Linked DNA regions of Schizosaccharomyces pombe. The gene in region 1 interacts genetically with each later gene. Each region holds a gene or a part of one and is shown in the gene's direction. Other genes may lie near its edges.

Evidence for each region.
Region 2: of hrs1 (region 1) and bqt2, changing one suppresses a phenotype caused by changing the other (phenotypic suppression), as found in Schizosaccharomyces pombe (one study listed by BioGRID).

Annotation. Positions count from the first base shown.
Region 1 is NC_003423.3:3,455,314-3,459,473, forward strand, and holds hrs1 (histidine--tRNA (His) ligase Hrs1), read left to right. Parts: upstream 1-1,851; coding exon 1,852-3,543; 3' UTR 3,544-3,599; downstream 3,600-4,160. Other genes in the region: myr1 (N-myristoyltransferase 1), read left to right, coding at 1-97, 168-292, 356-1,246, 1,290-1,487; dcd1 (deoxycytidylate deaminase), read right to left, coding at 3,685-3,791, 3,829-3,881, 3,921-4,160.
Region 2 is NC_003424.3:1,806,438-1,809,908, reverse strand, and holds bqt2 (bouquet formation protein Bqt2), read left to right. Parts: upstream 1-2,127; coding exon 2,128-2,191; exon of another isoform or gene 2,192-2,266; coding exon 2,267-2,426; exon of another isoform or gene 2,427-2,506; coding exon 2,507-2,639; downstream 2,640-3,471. Other genes in the region: SPOM_SPAC1002.07C (N-acetyltransferase Ats1), read left to right, coding at 668-743, 991-1,109, 1,168-1,202, 1,249-1,279, 1,371-1,481, 1,533-1,667; histone demethylase Jmj2, read left to right, coding at 3,112-3,471. UniProt on the Schizosaccharomyces pombe protein: Involved in chromosome segregation. During meiotic prophase, connects telomeres to the spindle pole body by forming a bridge between the telomere protein rap1 and the spindle pole body protein sad1.

The DNA of each region.
Region 1 (4,160 bases):
GCGTTGAGATCTTTGATAGAAAAAGAAGAAGCTGCAGCTCCCCCAAAGACTTACGAAGATTTCAAATTTTGGAAAACCCAGCCAGTTCCTAAGTTTGGTATGCCTATCCTGGTTTGTTGAAATATACTCTGAGATTCTTTTATACATATTAATGCTTACCATAATAGATGATGAATGTACTCAAGAAGGCCCAATAGATCCCAATACCGATATAAACCAGGTTCCTAGAGAACCTTATCGTTTGCTAAAAGAGTTTGAGTGGGCAACTATTGATGTAACAAACGACAATGAGGTTAGTGTAGTTTGATGTTTTCTGCTACGTATTAAGAAGCAAAACTTGCTGACATTTCTATAGTTATCTGAGGTTCATGAACTCTTAACTGAGAATTATGTCGAGGATGCTACGGCGATGCTTCGGTTTGCATACATCTCAGAGTTTCTCAGGTGGGCCCTTATGCCCCCTGGATATGTAAAAGAATGGCACGTCGGAGTACGAGTAAAGTCCTCTCGTAAGTTGGTAGCTTTCATTTCTGCTGTTCCTTTAAGTATTAGGGTTCGTGACAAAATTATTAAGAAATGTGCTGAAGTGAACTTCTTGTGCATACATAAAAAACTTAGAAGCAAGCGCCTTACTCCTTTATTAATTAAAGAAGTCACACGTAGATGTCATCTTGAGAATGTTTGGCAAGCTGTTTATACAGCCGGTGTATTATTACCCAGTCCCGTGAGTTTGTCTCGTTATATGCATCGTAGTTTAAACTGGAAGAAACTGTACGATATAGGATTCGCACCTTTTCCCTTGGGGTCAACGGAGAAAAAGGAGACTGCAAAATATCATTTACCTCCAAATACTCAGACCCCGGGTTTACGTCCGATGGAGTTGAAAGATGTACCTGCCGTTCAGTCGCTGTTATCTCAATACATGGAACGTTTCGAACTTGCCCACTTATTTTCGGAAGAGGAAGTGCGACATTGGTTTTTGTACACTGACAAGGTTTCAAGTGGCCCTGTTGTTTGGAGTTACGTTGTGGAGAATCCAGAGTCCAAGAAAATTACCGATTTTTTTTCGTTTTACTCTTTACCCTCAACTGTAATAGGAAACCCAAAATACAAAGATATTCAAGCTGCATACTTGTACTACTATGCCTCTGATTCTTGTCCAAAAGACTTATCTTCTGAATCACAGTTGGCATTCGTTGAACGTTGTAAATTGATAGTTAATGATGCTCTTATATTGGCTAAAAAGGTAAGTTTATATGGTTTTATTACTTGCTAATAATTCAAAACAGTTCCACTTTGATGTATTCAATGCTGTTACGGTTTTGGATAACAATCTATTCTTGAAGGACCTAAAATTTGGAGAAGGAGACGGTTTTTTGAACTATTACATCTATAATTATAACTGTCCAAAAATTCCTGGAGGAATCGATGCTTCTAAAAGTGTTGATTATTCGAGGCCTAGTGGAATGGGTTTTGTAATGATTTAAATCCTAAAATATTAAAATACATTATTTTTGATTTTTTTGAGTGTTTTTACTATTTTAAAAAAGTCCATATTTTAAAAGGTTTTTTGATATTAAATTTTTACTTATAGAACTTGTCATTTCACAAATATTAGGTTTTTAAATTTATAAAAAATATATAATAACTAGTTTTTATTTTCAAATGAAATTATCCCACTTGGTTTGCATAACATAAAATCCAAAAAATTTTCAATGTTTCATTATCCAAGGTTCTATATTTTTTTCTTGGTTATTTAATCAACATGACAAATGGTTTCATTAGTCCTTCAATCACCGTAAAATGTATTTAAATGGATGTAATACTGAGATTTGCATTTTCAGTTAGTGCATGTTTGTTTTTACCAAAAACCTATTCACCACCAAATTTTCGTCTAGCCTCTTAAATTGGCGTTTCTTGAGAACTATGGCTGATTCTCTAGTAGATATAAATGAAAGAATAACTTCACAAGGAAATCTTGTTCGATCTTTGAAAAGTCAAGGCGCCTCTAAAGAGGACATTGATAAAGAAGTTGCTAAATTACTTCAACTGAAAAACCTCAAACTTGGGGGTTCGGAAGTATCAGGAAAGAAAAAAGACACATCTTTTACACTGAAAACTCCGAAGGGTACTAAAGATTGGTGTGACAAAGATGTTGTTTTACGTGAGCACATTTTTTCAACTGTCACAGAGATATTCAAGCGTCATGGTGGTGTAACACTCGATACGCCAGTGTTCGAATTGAAAGAAATTCTTTCCGGAAAATATGGAGAAGACAGCAAGCTAATTTACGATTTGAAAGATCAAGGTGGAGAGCTTTGTTCTTTGAGATACGACTTGACTGTTCCATTTGCTCGTTGGTTAGCTATGAATCCCAAAGTTACGAGTATTAAGCGATTCCATATTGCAAAGGTTTATCGAAGAGATCAGCCAGCTATGACAAAAGGCCGTATGCGTGAATTTTATCAATGCGATTTTGATATCGCTGGCAACTACGATCCTATGATTCCCGATTCTGAAGCTTTAAAGGTTTTAGTGGAAGCATTAGATGCATTAGAAGTTGGAAATTATACTATCAAGCTTAATCATCGAAAAATTTTGGATGGCATTTTTACTGTTTGTGGTGTACCGGATGACAAAATTCGTACCATTTCCAGTGCTGTGGACAAGCTAGATAAACTCCCTTGGGAAGATGTCAGACGTGAAATGGTGGTTGAAAAAGGACTTAAAGAGGAGGTGGCAGATAAAATTAAGGAGTATGTGTTATTAAAAGGCGACCGCTCTCTTTTAGATAAGCTTGAAGCCGATAGTTTACTATCAAGCAATAGCTCGGCTGTTGCTGCATTTAACGACATGCGTCTTTTATTTGATTATTTGGAAGCTTTTGGAGTGTTAGATAGGTTTTCATTTGATATGTCTCTAGCGCGTGGTCTCGATTATTATACTGGTATCATTTACGAAGCAGTAACAGAGGCTTCTGCTCCAAAGATTAAGAGTTCGGCGGAAAAGAAAAAATCTGCTGATCCTGAAGCAGATCGTTCCAATGATGACTCTATTGGCGTTGGTTCGATTGCTGCTGGTGGACGTTATGACAATTTAGTTGGAATGTTTGCTGCAAAGAAAAACGCCAAAATCCCTTGTGTTGGCATTAGCCTTGGTTTAGAGAGGATTTTTTCAATTCTTAGATCAAAAATTCCTGATGAGGATATCCGTGCAAATGATGTTGATGTTTTCGTTATGGCATTTGGAGGTGGAAAAGAATGGACCGGCTTTTTGAAAGAGCGTATGTCTGTTTGTAAAGACCTTTGGGCAAATGGCATTAAAGCAGAATTTCTTTACAAAGTGAAACCCAAACCACGTCAACAATTTGACGCCGCCGATAAATTCGACGTACCTTTTGCTGTAATTTTGGGTCAAGATGAGTTTGCAAAGGGATCTGTTCGTATTAAACAAATGGGTTTAAAAGAAAATAGCGATGAAGGTCAGCTTGTGCCACGTGAGGAAATGGTATCAGTTTTGAAAAAGTTACTTAAATACGATTAAATATTCCTATAGCTCAATAATAATTATTGTATTATTTGATTGTTATCTCATCAATATTGTAAGTATTAAATAAAGATATTAAAATCGTATTTTCTGCAATCAAAAAGAGCGGTAATCTAAAAAGTAAGTTCTGTTATTAACTTAGAAAATGCTGTTTTCCGGAGGAATATATTGTCGTAATTGAACTCCTGCGGCTTGAAGGAGAGAAGCGGTATGGGAGTCCATGTTGTAAGACGTATGATAGACAACTGAGCATTAGTAAAAGATTAAAGAACTGAAACATACCTTCTTTAATCCCAAGCTGAGTAATCTTGACAGAACACGTAAGACAGGGACATCTTTCGACTGTTAGTAGCTTTATGTCTATATTTACATACGTATCACAGTATAATATTGCATTGTTTCCAACGCGTTCACGGCCAGCCTCTAAAAGAGCGTTTTCTTCGGCATGAAGACAAAGACAGGTATCAAGTTCTTTTCCACAGGAAGAAGCAGAATTGCAACGTGGACATCCGCCTTCATTACAGTTAGTGGCTCCTCTAGGTGTTCCATTGTAGCCTGTCGCAATAACACGATTTCCTCGCACAAGTACGCAACCGACGCGACGTTTCATACAA
Region 2 (3,471 bases), on another chromosome or scaffold:
CACTTCATGTTCTACTCATTGCGTTCTGAGGCCACTGTATTTCATTTATTTGCCTGTGCCATATTCGCTACATCATTAAAGGATTTGTTTGCGTTGAGACACGCGTTCATTCTAATCACCATATTTAAAATAACTTATGCTTGCTTAATCTATTACTAATTTATTCAATTTAAGTGGATAGCTTCCGTTCAGGCTTGTTTTACGTTCTTTTATGTCTCTCATAGTCTCAGGTATCATTTTTTTTTTGGAAAGTGCATAAATGCAATATGGATTTAACTGAGCTATTTTAAATGGAAGTTTACATCTTTCAACTTTTTTAGATGTTAATTAATACAAATACCATAACTTCGAAAAACTATTATAATATTCTTTATTATACCATGCTGTTTATTAAATTGTTTACTGAATTAATGTTTCATTATTATGAGTTGCTTTAGCTTTCAAGGTAGTATTTAATAATCGTTCAGTAGAAAAGCGGATTATTCATTCCCAAACATAAAAAGGTAAATGGAACATACTAGATTAGTTTCTACCCGTATTTGGCATTCCAAAAATAATATGATGAGATCTCATCAGTTTAAAGTGCGCTAGACAATAAACTACCATTAGGCCACGCATATTATTTACTGTTAGCACTGCACACCAAGTAAACCAATTAATTCAAAACATGGGTTCAGTTCGCATTCGCTCTGTCATTAAAGAAGATCTTCCGACCGTTTATCAGTTTATTAAAGAATTGGCAGGTAAGCGCCGTTATGACCAAGAGGACGAAGTCGTGTAGATTCTATTAAAAGGCTAGAGCTTTTGCCAGTATCCCAGACTCACAGGGTCTGATTCTCTTATTGAATTGGAGATTACTCTTAAGCTTTTTATATGGATTTGAGAATATATGGTTTTCGTCAGCAGGGTCGATCTCTACTTCTGTCCGCATGCTATCAGATCAGTTTGTGTTACTATTTAAAAACCGGTTTTAACATTTTGTTTATGAAGAATTTGAAAAATGTGAAGATCAAGTGGAAGCGACAATTCCGAATTTAGAAGTTGCATTTGGATTTATTGACGAGGTTACTCCTGTGGCATATGGAGTATTCATCGAAGAAAATGATCAGGTTCGTAAAAAAAAGTAAACTTGCTTGATCTTTTTTACTAATCTATAATTGCCATCAGCCCGCAGGAATGGCTATATATTTCCTAAATTTTAGGTAGTGAAAAGTTCCGTTTTGAAATATATGAGCTGACGTTGAATAGCACGTGGACTAGCAGAGTGGGGATTTATTTAGTATGTTCTTATCATATTGTCCTTCATAACCTTTTTATTGAAGGATTAACTTTTGATTTCATAGCAAGATTTTAACCATTCAATTTCTTAGGAGGACTTATATGTTCGACCCCAATTCCGTGGAAAAGGATATGGAAGCTACTTACTGTCTTATTTAGCACGAGAATCACTTAGAATTGGTGGCAGACGTCTTGACTGGGTTGTAAGTTGTTTATAACCCATTTCTTTTTTTATACCTTGACTAATACCCTAGGTCCTTGATTGGAACCAGAGAGCCATTGAAGTCTATGAAAAGGCTGGAGCACAAAAAGTTGGAGGATGGAGTATGATGAGAGTCACCGGCGAGAACCTAAAGGCTCTTGCTGATAAACTTCCCGGCAACTTTTAAACTCATACCCAATACTTAACGCTCTAAAAAATTGAAGCATGATATGTTATACCTTTGAAACCTTGAACTGGAAAGAGGAAAATTAATTTTTTATGATTGAAAGATCCTGGATCTTGTAGTTTCGTTTTAAAGCGGTCATTTCAATGTCTTTAGGTTATTTCCCGTTTACCAAAAAATACGATATCAATTTACATCTTACATTTTTTAAAATTAAAAAATAAAGAATCCTTTTTTTTGCAAAGTAAATTATTAGAACTGGTATATTGTTCTAATGTTAATTCCTATAAAACTAATTTGATCGTTTTCCTTTCAATTCATCAAATCGGCTTCTTATTGTGTATTAAAAAATAGAAAGAAAGTATTGGTTAGTATTCTTGAATATCTTTTATTGTGTTTCTTTTTCGAAACGCGTCGCGCGCAATTGTAAACAAACCAACTACCTACAACAGTTTGCCTGTCAATGTTTCAAGGAAAGTGCGCCTTTTTTGATGAAACCGTACCTTCTGCATTAATTGCTTTATGGCGTAAGTTTTAAAGGTTTGATGTGCACTTGTTTGTTGTCGAATGATTTATGGTTCAGTTGTTCTTACTAAAGATAGAATTACACAACGGAGAAGCGAAATTTTTAGCAGAAGGTTATGAAAATTTTGATTATGCATTTTCAATGCATCTAAGAAAGCACGTCCGCTTGCCAAATTACAAATCAGTTCAATGTCGTTCTCCTTGGTGGATTGCGGAGCAAGTAGCTGTTTCCAGAAGGTATTTATTAAATTTACTAAATATTGCATTGATAGTTTATCTTATCATTTACCAAGGCAAGTACTAACCACCATTATTAGCAAAAGTTACGTTTCTGAACCTGTCATTCATTTGAACGTGATGGAACCTTTATATGTTGATCACAGAATACGTTCAGTGTATCTACAGCCTCTGCCATCCACGCTTTCTTTTCTAAACGGTGAATTACCTTGAAATGCTTTGGTGCTGATATGGCGTTGTTCCGATTGTAAATTCTATGCTAATTGTGAAAAATACCTTTCCTTTTTCTATCCTTTATAATTTAATGATCGTTCCTTTAGCTCTCAAAATCGTCAACTGAAGTTGTCACAACCTTCACTTAACCATACGTTACGAATATTAATTTAATGCCTATTTATGCTATTAGCCTAAGATTATTTTCGAATTTTACCTAATTTCTTTATTTATATCCCATAAAGACACTTACGTCTTTTCAATGGACAATTGAACAAGTATACATTGCATAAACATAAAAAACTTACTTCATCTAAGTCCGAGTTTAAAAACTGTTGTTTCCATTTATTATTTCTCATTTACGTTTCGTTTCTTTTTTATTCTCTATTTTTTAATTCTTTTTATAATAACTTTTTTTTTCTGGAATCGCTCACCATTCGGACTAATTTATCTACTTATTTGCATAGGAAACATGAGCAAGTCTACTTTTCATCAAACTTCCCCATCTTTTGTACAATACACTCATGCTACAGATAAACTAAAACCTGCACCTCATGGGATGAATACGCGGGGAAATAACTTATCCTCTATGTCAAAAAATACCGGACAAAGAAAACAGCGTTCCAAATCCATTCATGGACTTCCAGTTGCTCCCGTTTTTTATCCTGATAAAGAGGAATTTCAGGACTCTATCGGTTATATTAATAAGATAGCTCCAATCGGTGAAAAATATGGTATCATAAAAATCGTTCCTCCTGCTGGTTGGAATCCACCGATGCAACTTGACATGAACAAGTTTTCCTTCCGTACTCGGCGGCAGGATTTGCATATG